Linked DNA regions of Elephas maximus indicus. The protein of the gene in region 1 interacts with the protein of each later gene in a biochemical or structural test. Links are inferred from orthologs where the notes say so. Each region holds a gene or a part of one and is shown on either strand. Other genes may lie near its edges.

Region 1 (7,839 bases):
ACAAAAATCAGTAGCAACTTCTACACTGCAAAGTTCCATTCATCCATTAAAAAAAATTACATAGGAACAGTTGGTAAAAGCATAATTCTCATTAATGATGTACAAATCTGTGCTTGGTACTACACGCTATAATGAAGCTAGATGTTAAAAAAAAAAAAAAAGGTGAGTGGGAGAAGCTGGTGTAGGTGTTATAAGTACAAGATTAAAAGGTCAAATGACCTAAATTCAAATGTAACTCCATTGCTAAGACCCTTAGGAACCGGTATAACATTATGTCCTGATTTTGGAAGAAATCTACCTTACATCCTACATTCAAAGAAAAACGCATTTTAAAATATCTTTTTTCAACTGTGAAACAGGTTAAGATTGTCGCATATATAATACCTGTGTGTTCAAACTCAGTTTTTATCAGTGAACTTCCATGCCTTCTGAATTTGGATTTAAAATTTAAAAAAAAAAAAAAAGACTAAGGGTACATTTACTTTAAAAGAATATGTCACTGTAATGTGAAGAAAAAAATAAAAACTAGTCAGTGAAAAGGTGGATGGATAAAAGATAAAATCACTGATATCCCAATACTGAGAAGGTAAAATAACTCACTAGGTCATCTACAGTAAATGAAAATGCAAAATATCTTTCTTTATAAAAATATGACACAGCAAGCTATGTGGGAAAGGGGTCAGTTTGGGAGCCAGACCCGGGTTCTATTAAAGGTTCTACTTAGCGAAAGACTTGATTTCCTCATCTGGCAAATGAAAACTACCACTGACTTCATCACGTTGACATTCATTTTTAAAATTTAACTCAAAAATAGCAACTGAAAACCAAAGTATTTAGTTCAGGCTTTACTCTGCTTTTTGGTATTTAAATAAGACCTCTGGGGAGACATCTACATGTTGTTATTCCAAAGGCTGAATGGCAGCCCCTTTTAAGATGTTAATCAAAACTACAAACATCTCTTTGCAGAATTGTGCATTCACATACAACCTTATGCTTTCAATTTCACTGGTTTTCACACCCCCTGAAGCCATTAAGCAGGAATCCAAAAGAACCATTTAAAAAACCTTAAGGAAAAAAAATAAAAAAAGGGCGCAACACTGGATACATCTAAGCTTGAAACAAATTTCAATCACTGGAAAAGCCAGAATATCAGATTTCCTATTCCACTTAAACCTACCCTCACCACTAAAAGTTCTTTCAAAGACTAATAACATGAAGTTAATTTCTTTACCCTAAATTAGACCTCTGATGCCCAAATAAAACTACTGCGGCAAATGCCTTACTGGTAAACTGCGCTATTTCCTGATTGTATTAATTCTGCATCAGGGTACCTTTCTAGAGCAGTATTACCTTCATCCCGTCTATCTAAAGAGGGGAAAATCCTGAAATCCTCGTACTGCGACACTAAAATATCTCAAAACAGGTCGGAGACCAAGACTGAAATTCGAAGGAGCAATCATTTTCTTCCCAGACATTGCGAAGCCTTGGTGCATACCCAAGAGACCGGGCCTGGCAGCTCCTTATCTTTCCACCCCCGCAGTACAGTCGCCATCCCCCTGGCTGACCAGAGCCGACAGTATCTATTAGAATATAGATAGCGGTTATCAATTACAAGAAAAGAAAGGCCAAGGCCACAAAAGACGAGTTGGGCTGGACTGAAGGCCAACCAACCACCCCATATTCACTAATTCATTCATCCATCCATCCATTCCCCCCAAATTAAATGGGGGTCTGGGACATCTGCCGTGGCCTTGGCCGCTACCCTCCCAGTGGAACAGTGTCTGGGAGGGGCCTCTCGTCCCTTCACCAGAGCAGCTGCGCCCGCTTATCCCCACTGCGCATTCGGCCATCCAGCTCTCGCCATTGTTTGTGCCCAGAACAGATACCGCCCCACAAGGACCCGGAGGAAGAAAAGGCGGCCCGAGTCCTCGGATGCGCGGCCTCCCTCTCCGCGACAGTCTGTCCCTCACTCCCAAACGGCACATCCCTCACCCCTCCCCCAAGCTCAGAGAAAACTAAAACCGAGATTCGCACAAATTGGAGAGGGAATTATGGGAGTCCAGTGAAAAGAAACGGGGAGCTCCCACCCGGCCACAGTAATCAAGAACATCTGTTTAGTAAGAGCCACCGAATATTTGGCAAGATTTGCTAAAGAAGCAGATAATTTACATGCAAACTGTTCGGAATCCATTTGAGTCTAGACAGGATAAGCACGAAGGCGCATAGACGAGAGCATCGTTTGGATCCAACGAGCCCGAGCCCGAGCCCGAGTTTGGTGCTGAGGGGTGAAGCAGGGCTCCGCGTCTGAGCCCTCAAGTCAGGGGGAGGGAACCAGCTTCTCCTCTCCCCGCGCCACACGCCGCGCTCAGGTCCCTCACCTCCATCTCGGCGTTGGCGGGGCCGGCGCAGGCTGCAGAGGAGGCCGCCTGGGACACGACGCCCTCCGGTCCGCCTTTGTTGCTGCTGTTACTCCCGCCGCTGGTAGCAAAGGCTGCGGGTTTGGAAGGCGCGCTCTCGGGAGGCGGGGGTGGCGGAGGCTCGGCTGCGGACGACATGATGTTCCGGCTGCGTCAGCCGCTGCTGCCAGGGGCTGGGTCCCGCAGGGATGGAGGAAGAGGCCTAGACCTGGGGAAGGAGCTGATGGACCGGCGAGAGGACTCCCTGAGTTCTCCCCGGCACCGCGGCTCCGTGACGGCCTGAGCGGGACCCAGCAGCCTCCTCCTCCTGGTCGTAGGTCTCCTCCTCCGCGCAGCTCCGGGTTCGACCCGCTGCTTACCTCACGGCGGGAATCACGTCGACGAGAGTGGGCGGGGCCAGCCGGGTCACCGAGGTCAGGGGAAGCAGGCCGATTTAGAGGAGGGTGGAGGGTTAGGGGGAGGGAAAGGAAAGCGAAAGAGAGACTGAGGTGAGGACCTAGCTTCGCCTCCTCCTCTTCTTCCACCGTCAGATATCATCTATGTCGCCAGCAACTCGGACAACTACCTACGCCACCGACTTCCAACTCTCGCGAGATAGCGGGTTGGCTGCCTGGAACCCGAGAGCGCATGCGCTTCCTTCTCCCCTCACTCGCCTCCCGCATCACCCGGGCCCCCAGCGGCCTCTGGAGAGCGAGTGGGTGGGGGGCTCTGGAGAGAGGAGTGGGTGGGGCCTCGAGGGAGACGAGCGCTGCCTGGAGACGTCTGACACTTACGTAGGCTTCCCTTGGCTCTTTGGCCTGACGCGAGTGCAGCCCTATGCGCGTTCATAACGGCTCCCCGGCCTTGACTCTCTTATCTTATTGGCCTGGCAGAGGTCAGCTGCATTTCCTGAAAACTTGCTCAGATTTAGCACGGGGAACTGAAACGTGGCGGCCTATGCTGGGTCTTAATACTTGTGCCGCCTGTATCTATAGGCGTGACGCCACAGCGTTGACGTAACGCCGTCGTTATCCATAGTGAAGTCTTCCTTATTTTGTTCTCTCCAGCAAAATGTCCCTTACTGTGATTTTTATAGTTAATTTTCACTTACTGGGTACATCAGTGGAAACCCTGGTGGTGTAGTGGTTAAGTGGTACGGCAGCTAACCTAAAGGTCGGCAGTTCAAATCCGCCAGGCGCTCCTAGAGAACTCTATGGGGCAGTTCTACTCTGTCCTATAGGGTCGCTATGAGTCGGAATCTATTCGACGGCACTGGGTTTGGTTTTTGGTTTTGGTGGGTACATCAATAATTTAAAAATACGTTTTACTTCCCTTCAATGTAGAGTTATTACTAATTTCTATGCTAAAAGCAAATTGGCGCGCACGCTACGGTGTGAGTGAAACATGATTAATCAATAGACAGGAAAAGAGAGGTACGGGTTGAATCTTTCCCTCGACTACCAAGCATAAAGTTAGAATGTGCTTTCTCCTTAAAAATGTGTGTTAACAAAAAATCAACTTTTTATTTTTTTGTAGACTGCCTTAGGCTCTCTACAACAACCTAAGCTCTGTGCGTTCATCTATTACAGAATTGAAGCACGTTGTATACTATTTGATAACTAGTCTGCATTTTGCAGTAAGTTCTTATCTTCCCTACACAGAGTTTTATTCATTTTTGTATTCCCATGTACCTTATTCTGTAAACATTTATTCAAGAGTTAAGGCTGATGGCTGCTCGCAAGCTTTTAAGACCCCAGGAACCGCCCAAAGAACTAGGAAGTAGAGCAGAAGCACTGAACATGCTAATAGGCTAGTTAACTGAAATGTTCATGATACCATCACTCTAAACTTGCAAACCAAAACCCTTGAGGCATTTGGTTGTACCTATGCAGCCTTAACAGGTACTCTTTGTGTGTGTGTGTTATTTTTATATGTCTATCGCACAACTTTTTCCATTTCAACTTTTTACACATGTACAACTTACTGACAGCACTTACAGTAACCCGTTGTGTAACTCTACTGTTAATCTACGCCATTTTTTCATCGTGGTAAACTGCCCTCCCCCTTTTCTCCTTCCTTCCAGTCCCTGGTAACAACTAGTAAACTTTGATCTCTATACATTTACGTTTTCTTGCCTTTTTATGTTAAGTGAGGTCATACAATATTTGTTCTTTGGTGATTGACTTATTTCACTCAGTGTAATGTTTTCAAGCTCCAGTCATATAGTAGCAAGTATCAAGACTTCGTTTCCTCTACTGGTTGAGTGCCATTCCATTGTATATATGTACCACGTTGGTTATCCATTCATTTGTTGATGGGCGTTTAGGTTGTTTCCACCTTTTGGCTATTGTGACTAGTGGTGCAATGAACATTGGTGTACAAGTCTCAGTCTCTACTTACAAGTCTTTTGAATATATACCTAGGAGTGGAATTGCTGGTCATATGGTAGTTCTGTTTTTAGTTTTTTGAAGAAAACACCACACTGTTTCCCACAACAGCTGCTCCATTTTGAATTCCTCTCAGTAATGTATAAGGGTTCCAATTTCCCCACATCCTGGCCAACATTTGTTATTTTGTGTTGCGTTTTGTTTATCTTAGCCATTCTAGTTGGAGTGAAATGGTATCTCACTGTAGTTTTGATTTACATCTGTGTTCAATTTTGAGCTCAGTGGTTAACAGCTACTATTGCTAACCAAAAGGTCAGCAGTTCGAATCCACTAGCCACTGCTTGGAAATCCTATGAGGCAGTTCTACTCTGTCCTGTAGGGTCGCTATGAGCCAGAATTCACTCCATGGCAATGGGTTTGGTTTCAGGTTTTTATGTTCTATTTGCCTGGAGCAACAAAGCAAAAAGGAGAGTCAGGCATAGGAGGAAGAAGTGGAATGTGTGGCTAATTGCCTCATGAAAAACTGCCTCCTTTGCCATGAGACCAAGAGAACTGGATGGTGCCCAGCTACCATTACTGAACATTATGATCAAAGATCAAAAAGAAGAATCCTGATCAAAAGGGGGGAAATGCAGAACAGAATTTCAAATTTTCATAGACTCCAGACTCTGGAGCCATGGAGGCTGGGTGAATTCCTGAAACTATTGCCTTGAGATAATCTTTAAATCTTAAACCAAAAATATCCCCTGAAATCTTCTTAAAACCAAAAAAAAAAAAAAAAAGTTTAGCTTAAATGATAAAAAAAAAAATCTCTTATTGACCATTATGCCCTTTTAAGAGCTATCTATATGGGACCAAACTGACAATAGCAACTCGAAGGATTCTATCTATAGGAACATCAAAGGGCAATGCATTTAAGTTAATGGGGGAGGAATAACTCAGAAAAGGAGGTAAGAATGGTTGCACAACCCAAAGAATGTAGTCAACGTCACTGAATTGTACACATAGAAACTGTTGAATTGGTGTAAGTTTTGCTGTGTGTATTCTCAACAACAACAAAATAAATAAATAAAATTTAAAAAAGTGTTAAGATTGATCCAAATGGTTGATTATGTTGAATTTCAAACAGAAGGGATATCCTTTGAACATGTATCCTGCAAACTTTTGAACTAATGAAATGATAATACTTTAATTGAGGTCTGGAAAAATGTCCCCAACTCATCAGAAATACCATTTCTGAGTCTATAAAGAAATATCTAAGAATATATGCTCGTTAGTATTTTCCAGTTTTTTTAAAAAATAAACATCATCATTATTGTATTGAGAAAACTCACTTTTAAACAATGTTCTTTCTCCCCAAAAAGATGGCGAGAAAAGGTAAGGAGGTAGTGTCTAGAGTGATACTTAATATAAAGACATTTAATAAATATTTATTGAGTAAATACTTATTTAATATTTACATTCTAAAGTAGAAATAGTATTTAGTAGAAATAATATTTATTTTATATTCAGAATAGTTATTCAGTCTACAGTCTTAGGAAAAAAATCTCTAAAATTATTCTTAAGTATATAAGTAGAAGGATCTTAAGTCAGCTCACTATTTAAGGAAAGCAACAAATAGCAGGGAGCATGATAAATAATATTGCCCCCCAAAATGGCAATTGTCTTTTAACATTGCATTTATTCTGTGAGTTTCTAATATGAGCATATGGAAGCTGCATAAAAATCTTGTTGGAGAAAATTCTAGAGAATACCATATTTTTTCTTAAACAGTGCATCCATGTAAACAACATGCATACATATATAAAACACAGAAATGATGAAATTATGTTTAAAAGTTCTGGCTTAACACACAAGTCTCGTGGCCTTTCCAGAAGTGAATTTCGACCTTCTTCTTCATTCAGTAGTCCAAGAATGTTACTTTTGATCATATTTGTATAATAAAAATATAAGCCGTGGTCAAGAAGTCATCAGTCAAGTTTGGTAGTACCTCGGTAATTGGAAAATAAATAATTGAAACTGCATTTGTTTATATTAAGTTGATAATTATATCCCCATCACTTTGAGTCATCAGTCTGAACCTTGAACCTACTGAATTGAAGCCTATCCATAAATCACATGCAATCAATTGGAGGAGCCCTGGTGGTGCAGTGGTGACTAGCTATGGCTGCTAAACAGAAGGTCGGCAGTTTGAATCCACCAGCTGCTCCTTGGAAACCCTATGGACAGTTCCACCTTGTCGTATAAGATCTCCATGAGTTCAAAATTGACTTGAAGGCGATGGGTTTGGATGTTTTATGTTTTTATCAGTTGGAAGGTTAAACAAAGCCTGCACCTGCACTGGCATAAATAGCATCGAGTAGCTATCAATAGTAACCTTGATTCAATCTGCATTGACATAATTATCACAGTCCTCTTCGGACTCTGGCTTTTAACTGGAGGAGTAAACAAAGCAAAACTGATACATGATCACTCTTGGCTCTACCGTTGAATGCAAAACATTCTCAGATCATCTTAAGTGAAACCGTTAAGCTACGCTAAAAACCGACTCACTGCCATCAAGTCAATTCCTACTCATAGTGACCCCATAGGGTTTCCAAGGTTGTAAATCTTTACAGAAACGGACTGCCACACCTTTCTCCCATGGAGCCACTTGATGGTTTCAAACTGCCAACCTTTTGGTTAGCAGTTGAGCACTTTAACCGCTACCCATAGTCTTACTGGCACCAATGTCTTTGATCAATGAAAGAAGCTGGAGAAAATGAATCCTCAAAAACATGCACATAGTGGTCCCAACACGAAATGGCCTGAGTTGGAGAATAACTTGAAAGTGGATCGTTTCTCAAAGGGAACAAAATCAATCTGTCTCTACTGTCACAATTCAGATCAAAGCAAATCTTCCGGCAAATGAAAAAGAATCCCAGATTTCAAGGCAGGTTTCACCTGGATTTCTAAATTCATGAAAAGGAGTGGCCTTTCTGTAAGAATGAGAACCACTGTAGGCCAGCAGCTTCCAATGGCTGGGAGCAAAAGATGGTCGACTTTCGTGAATTCAC
Region 2 (7,680 bases), on another chromosome or scaffold:
AGCTAATACTTGCAGGCACTTAAAATAATGCCGGCACACATTAGGGGCTCCAGAAATGTTGGGAATTGTTGAGAATCTAGTATGGTATAGGATCCCAGCAGTCAGTCATCAGTGAAGGTTTCTGCCGTGGCTGAAGAACAGCTTCTTTGCCTGTGAACGAGCGGCACCTCCTGGTCACCCAAGGTGATGCAGAACCCCACGTTTATAAAAGCCTGGCTCAGTAATACACCATGAATCGTATGAGGCATAATCACTGGGCCATCCTCTCCAAAAGCACACCATGAACAAGGAGAATGAAACAGAAGTCATCACTTTTAACAACAATGTTCTTTATTTATACAACGCATTATAGTTTTCTCAAGATTCTTCACTCGTCAACAAACTTTTCACTGTATTCATTTGACAAGTTAACAGTATCAAACTACATTTCACTGTCAAACTCTAAGCATTCAACTTAGAGACAAAAAGTGCTTGGAGCACTGAAGAGAAAGAGAAAAAGGCTAAGAAAGGCCAACAGAAATACTTTGGAAGCAGTTAAGGGGATGGATGGTTTGGGGGAATTATATTCCTGAGCACCATCAGATTTTGCTTAACGTTTAGAGAAGTTTTACAGAATCATTTTTAAAAGGCATGAGATTATAACTAAGGAATCAGAGGAACCTTCACTTTTATATATTAAGCAGGTTATCAATGTTTCTGAACTGACAGAAGTGAAAAAAGGAAAGAGAAAGGGTGGGAATGGGAAGCAGAGCAGAGGCAGGTAGACAGAACAAGAGAACCACAAATGGAAAAAGTTGTGCATTGAGGTTATAAAGTTTGGAACTCATCATGAATTGAAGAATGAAAAGCTGGTCTCAAGTCTGAGAGATGGACTGTGAGAGAAAGCCTGGGATTTTACACCTTCTAGGGGGGTGAAGATAAATCCTAAAGCTGTACAGTGGCAGGCAGTGAGGTGCATCTAAGACTAAGCCACCTGTTTTGTAAGAATAAGACATTGGCACCCTTGCTTGACTAATTACACTCTACGGTGCTAATTTAAAAGCATGGATGCCCAGAGTGCACCCACCCCAAGAAGTTGAATAGCTATATGCAATACACAAGACTTCTAAGTCTAGGGAGTCTGTCAAGATTCACTGTCAAGTGAAGGAACAACGGGTTTCATTTTTCTCCCACAGCTTTTTAATAGTCTCTAAAACCTAAATTGCGCTTATCACTCTTAATAAGCTAGTACTGACAAATACTGTACAATCAAATATAGGCTGATCATGATCAAAGCCCAAATTTTTCCTGAGTCTCGGCTGACTGTGATCGGGAACACAGCAGGCAGGATAAAAGTTACTACTTTCTTGGGAGGTACAGGGAGGAAGGAAGTGAGAACCAAAAACTGCCTAACCATATATATAACTAAACAAGAGAGATCAAATTGGCTCATTGAATTAGCTGCTCAGTATTCCTCTTGTCAAAAAGTCATAACCTTCAGACTAATTAAGCAAAACAAGATTCTGCTACCCAGATGCGCTGAGTCTAGGAAGTGCTAGTTTTGATAATAATTCTAGCCAGTTTTATTTCCATCTTCTCAGGTACTCCCACCTAAGACTGCTCTGCCCAGCAAGTAAAAGCTTCACATAAACGTGTATCACATATTTCAAAGTGGTACCTTCCAAGGTGCCAGTCTTCCCATCCCATTCAGTTGTCCACCTCCTCCTCCTCATTCTGGTCTTCTTCTTCCAGCCTTTCCTCATCTTCATCGTTGTCCTCATCCCTGCTCTTGTCTTGTTCTTCCGAATCTGTTTTTTTGTCTTTGTCCTTTTTCTTTTGCTCTGAAGCTTCTTTCTTGCCTTTCTGCTCCCGCCTGTATGCTATAAGGAGGAAAGAGGGGGTTAGGAGGCAGGGCTGGATGAGTGAACCAGACTCCAGCAGCTAATTCCATTCCATAGCTGGAAAAGCTGAGGCACGGAAGGAAGAATAACCTGCCCGCATCAAAAACAGATCTGAGGTGGTGCAAACTGAATGGGTGCCGAGTCACACCCAGTACTGGCTTACAGGACTTTAGGGGACCCATGCTGAAAACGCCTCAGGGCCAGGTGAGCAGGTCACACAGGATGACCATCTTCTATGTGGCTGAGAAAACGGAAGGGTCGTTACCTTCCAGAGCCTCTTTCAGCGGAGTGATGAAGCGCTGAAACTCCATCTCTTCCATTGCTGAGAGCACATCGCTAGCATTCAGCGTCTTGCGCTTCCCTTTCATGGCGAAATTGTTGGCACTGAAAGAGGAAAAGCAGAAAGGGCCTTTAGAGGCTGTCAGACCCCCTCTTGATGCCTCTGGAGCGGGCAGGAAAAGCGCACCCTGAGTTGGACTGGAAAAGCCTACCACTTAGATGCATTATTTTTGTGGGTGTCATACAGCTAAGTCCCTCCCTTACCTGTACAAAAGGACTACAGCCAAATTACTTTGTTGTTGTTGTTTCACACCCTGTAACAACTGGGTGAAAGCTGTGAACCTCTCCCCACGGAGCCAGCACACAATCATTCGGGTTTGTGGGCTCCGGGCCAAGACTCCCCAGCTAAGGGTCTCTCGGAGCCTCCCTAATGGTTCAACCCTAGCTGAGCTCTGGTTAACTCTGCCCCGCTCACCAGGACGTGGCATACAGCACGAAGACGCTTGCGGCACGGGAGATGGCGCTCCGGGCCTCCTTGGAGATATTGACGCCGTCCGGGAGCTGTGAGAGAGCGGCGGTGAGCAAAGTTGCCCACCCAGGACCTGTTTCCCTCATGCCCACTCGTCCGGCCCAGCCCACCCGCTAGCCTGGCCTGCTCACCGCCTCCTTGATGATCCTGGTGATGACGGCGTTGGGCAGATTTAGGTCCTCTGGCCTTTCTGCCATTGCCGCTGCCGAGGCCAGCGCCTCCGCCTCAGGCCTCCTCTTCAAGCCACTACGGCGTCCGGACTTCCCGCGTCGATGCGGTCTGACCCACGGAGGCTTCCGTTCCGGTCCACACGGCCCACACTGTCCCACAGTGCCCTGCGCAGCATTATCGCCCCACCCCAGCCCCGCCTCCGGTCGCCGGCGCTTCCAGAGTTTCCACGCATCAGGGGTTTTGGCCCCCTGGGGTTTCCTTCAGGCCCCACAGTGCCCGGAACTCCCCACCCCAGCCCCATTTCTCTTCTTCGTGCTACTAACACGTTCGTCGCGTTCGCTGCAAATTAAGTATGGCTCACTGGGGTTTCCGTCCGTTTCCCTTGGTGCTTCGCGCCGCTGCTGGGCGACGGCTGGGCCTGGAGGTGTGAACAGAGCTGGCTGGGCGGGGCCTGCTGACGGCCGCGCCGCGAGGAGCAACGCCCTCCCGCCTGGCTTTAAACTCTTACTGCTTTGAAGTCTCCTTTGGATCCGCGAATTGTGGCTCCCGGATGCCAGTTTCTCCCACTTCTCTTTTCCGAAACGAAGCGGGGACTCTTTCTCCAGCTCTAGCGGAGCTGATGTTCATCCTTAATTTTTTCGCTGCTGCCAACTTTGTAATGCTTATACTAATAATAGCTCATATCTAGAGTTTATTCATTGCAAGCTACCTTGCTGAGGCAACGCTAATGCTTGCGGGATTGAGATGGGTGTGGCTAGATCTCGGGGCTCAATTCTGGTTGGGCATATAACGAAAGGACCCGGAGCAGTAGGTTGTAAGAATAGCGAAACTCAGTCACATTGAAAACAAACCGTGTTAAAATTGTATTTTTTAATTCATAAAATGGTTCTCCTTACATCTTTCCGAGTCCTTCAGTTTTGTAGTAGTTTTTTAATTTGTATTTTCATATTAAACGCGTAGAAATTGTCCTCACTTCTACTTATTTTTTTCTTGAAACGTGGTCCTCTTAAGCCAGCCTTTCATTTTCCTGCCCTTAATTGAGACGTGGGTACAGAGAAATATTTCCCTATTATGAGAAAAACAGCAGAGCAAATGTGCTAATAAATGGCAACTGAAACTGCTTCGGTTAGAGGCTATAGGGTCAGGTGGGGAACACTTGGATGTAGCAGACCTAGTTTAAAGATGTCAGAAGCTAATCAGCTCCAGTCATTTCCTGTTGTGTTGGAATTAGGCCCAGTATTGTTAGATATTTTGATTTTTTAAGATGGGGCAGAAATCTGGACATCAATTCTTAAAATATTATGTCTAAAGTGCAGGCCAGACAAAACAAGTCACAGACCAGATGGAATCCCAGGGCAGTAGTTTGGTATCTCTGTCCTAAATTATAAGCTCTTTAGAACAGGGACTTTATCTTGTTCATTACTGTTCTCTGTGCCCAGGACAGTTCCCCTCAGGTACCTGGTAGTCAGTAAATACGTGTTGCATAGAAGAAAGAAGAAATAGGCACTGCCCTTACAGAGCTATTAGGGTGGTAGTGATTATCTGCAGCTTCTTTAGAGAAGGCAAGATAACATTTGGTGAGCTCCTATTACGTATTACACATAAATGTACATTATCTCATTTAATACTTTTACAGTCCTCCTTAGGGATTATTTCTCCCTACTTTATATGAGGAAACAGGTTCAGAAAGGTGAAATCACTTGCTCAAGACCGTTCAGCCAGTAAATGAGAATTAATGGCCTCTGATGTAATCACATCAAGGTTATTGGTTTGCTGTTTGACCAAACACATTCATTCCTGGTGGGTATTTTAGCTGCCTGCATGGGAATTGGCACATACTGAAAAATGAAGCATGTCTTTCAAAGAAAAAGTGGTTGCTCTTTGCGTTTTTGAGCTAAGACACTTCCGTAATTTAATTGTAATTTGATAAGGCTTTTTGGAAATGGTGGCATTTCTAATGATTATGAAGGGGAAAAGAAAAAGGATGGTAATGTTTCTTATGAACTATATGTCAGACATGGTGATCTGCTTCTGTAAAGATTACAGCCTAGAAAACCCTATGGGGCAGCTTTACTCTGTCACGTGGGATCACTGTGAGTCTGAATCAACACCACGCACTTAACATATATCAGACCTTTTAATATCTGTTAACTAATTTTTGTAATAACCCTGTGAAATAGGCTTATCCTCATTTTACAAATGAAACAGGTTAAGTCCCAGTTTACTCAGCTATCAAATGGCCAATTGCGAGACATTCTGAAGTCAATCTACTTCTAAACTGTTGACATTCTGCCTCACGCTGAGATGTTTTCATACTTGCTTCTACCAAACCCTTAATTATTCTACAAAAAAATCCGTTGCTGTCGAGTTGGTTCCGACTCATAGTGACCCTACAGGACAGAGTAGAACTCAAGGAGCGGCTCATGAATTCCATCTGCTGACCTTTTGGTTAGCGGCTGAGCTCTTAACCACTGCATCACACCAGGGCTCCAATTATCCTATGACCACCGTTTATCTATATGGGCTCAATAGAAATGTTTTATACTTTGAGTCCAAATAAAGATCTGGACTGCATGGCTAATGTATCCCAGTGCTGTTGAGTCGATTGCGACTCATAGCGACCCTATAGGACAGAGTAGCACTACCCCATAGAGTTTCCAAGGAACGCCTGCGGATGCTAATGTATAATGCACTCTTAATTATGTGGTTGTCGTTTCTCCAGAAGGCTAGAAAGCTGCAGGGTTGGCTTTTGTTCTAAGCCATTTGGCTATGGACTTGCCAGATGCGAACCAGTGGGATGAAACCACTTGTGCCTCTGCTGTTTGTCCGCATCCGCAATGCTGGGCAGCTCTTCGCAGGATTGAGAGGGGCCACCCTCGATTGCTGGGTTCACCCTGCAAAACTCCCCTGGATACTGAAGGTATATTAGCCAGCGCCTGTCTCCTTCCTCACAAGTCTTTAAAGTATTTGTTTGACCTTCTTCTCCAGGTGACATGTTACATAGTTTCTTCTGGTCTGTTTTCTCAGATAAACTCCCAGTGCTCACTATTGTAAATATCTCAGATTCCCTCCGGCCTAAGAGATGTGCTCAGCGTTGTTTATCGGGATTTACCTTTGCTAAGACTCACTCTTTGTTGTCTCGGGGTTCAAAGTTTGACTCCAAATTTCAAGGCAGGTAAATTATCATTGAATCTACTTTTAAGAGCTTACTATCTCAAAATCTGGGTTATGACTTTCCTTACCCATACAGAAGACTTTGAGAATGCTGAGTTAAAAGAAAAAAAACGCTAATTCAGTTAAAGAAGCGGTAAAAACAGAGGGGAAAACCCAAAGAAAGCATTCTTACTGTGTTCTAGGAGTTGGTTAATTTGGGGGTACCTCATCAGTATCTGTAGGTCATCAGGAAACAGTTTCCACACATACTGTCTTACCTTATAACTTTATATATAAAACTGTTTGTAAGCCCCTGAATGCAGAAGGAATGACTTTTTCTTTTGAACCTCCTGTAAAGTCTAGGTACCCAATTAGTGCTTGTTGATATTGAAGCTAAGGGATAGGAATCTGTGGAAAATTTAGACTTTCAAAATCAGAAGACCTCGTTGCCTAGAATCAAAGCACTGGTTGTGGCCCTGGAGCGGTTTATTTTCTCCTGTTCATTTAAGCAGCCTTTGATGATTTCTTTTAGGCTAAAGACAGTATAAGAGAGCCCTGGTGACATAGTGGTTAAGCACTTGGCTGCTAACCAAAAGATCAGTGATTCAAACCCACCAGCTGTTCCTTGGGTTACAGATGTGGCAGTCTGCTCCTGTAAAGATTACAGCCTTGCCCTCTTTGGGGCAATTCTGCTCTGTCCTATAGGGTCGCCATGAGTCGGAATTGACTTGATGGCAATGGATTTTGAAAGACAGTATAGGAAAGGGTAGGGCTACTTTCAGGTTCTCTAGAACTTGAAACCCTGGAAAACAGCTGTGCCTCCCAGTCAGGACCTGTGATGTGCTTCGCATAGATGCACAGGCACACAGTTCCAACCCTGCCATGCCCATGGTGTGCATGAGGGAGCTGCCTCATCCAGTTAGCTCCTGGTTTCTGTGCCTTTGTCCTTCAGCCTCTCCTGCTTTCTGATCTTACCTCTTTATCCTGAACCAGCCCCTCATTACCTCGTTTGTGGGTTTTTGCAGGGTCTTCTGAGCTGGTCTCCCTGCCTCTTCCCCTCTAAATCTTATATGCTACCAACAGATTAAGTTTCCAGAAAATATTGCTCATATCTCTTTGCTCAAAGTCCATGATTAGTGCTTCATGTACTATAGAATAATACAGCCAAATTTCCCTATTGTGGAGCTGGTAGCCTCTTTACTCTCCAGCTCCTCTCTGCTCTGATACCACCTTTAACTCTGAGCCAAACTGGCTTTCCTTTTGTACTTTTCTGTCTCTGACACTTTATTCATGCAATTTCCTCCACCTTAAAAGCTCTCTTCACTCCTCTGTTTCACTAACTCTCTGTGATAGTCTGTAAGGCCCTATAAGGTCCTGCCTTCCTCATGGACCTCATCTTGCATTCCTCCCCTCCGTATTCACCAAGGTCCAGCCGTTACTGCCCTTTCTGTTCCTCACATACTCCACACTTCTATCCCAAGACTTATGTACCTGCTGTTTCCACTGAGTGGAATGCTTTTCCCCCAGATCAGGGTTTCTTCACCTGACACTTGACATTTCGGATCAGATATTTCTTTGTTTTTTGGGGGTGCTGTCCTGTGCATTGCAGGAAGTTTAGCAGCATCCCTGGGCTCTACCCATTGGATGCCAGTAGCACCCCACCCTCAG

The links. The genes of interacting proteins can lie anywhere in the genome.
Region 2: the proteins of SMARCA5 (region 1) and POLE3 form a complex in vitro, tested with the Homo sapiens proteins (2 studies listed by BioGRID). The link is inferred for Elephas maximus indicus from reciprocal best matches to the Homo sapiens genes SMARCA5 and POLE3.

What each region holds. Positions count from the first base shown.
Region 1 is NC_064831.1:41,246,774-41,254,612, forward strand, and holds the start of SMARCA5 (SWI/SNF-related matrix-associated actin-dependent regulator of chromatin subfamily A member 5), read right to left. Parts: upstream 3,003-7,839; 5' UTR 2,556-3,002; coding exon 2,379-2,555; intron 1-2,378. UniProt on the Homo sapiens protein: ATPase that possesses intrinsic ATP-dependent nucleosome-remodeling activity.
Region 2 is NC_064827.1:62,659,290-62,666,969, forward strand, and holds POLE3 (DNA polymerase epsilon subunit 3), read right to left. Parts: upstream 3,017-7,680; 5' UTR 2,886-3,016; coding exon 2,820-2,885; intron 2,721-2,819; coding exon 2,635-2,720; intron 2,265-2,634; coding exon 2,146-2,264; intron 1,860-2,145; coding exon 1,687-1,859; 3' UTR 315-1,686; downstream 1-314. Other genes in the region: C9H9orf43 (uncharacterized protein C9orf43 homolog), read left to right, coding at 5,629-5,779, 5,887-6,030. UniProt on the Homo sapiens protein: Accessory component of the DNA polymerase epsilon complex. Participates in DNA repair and in chromosomal DNA replication.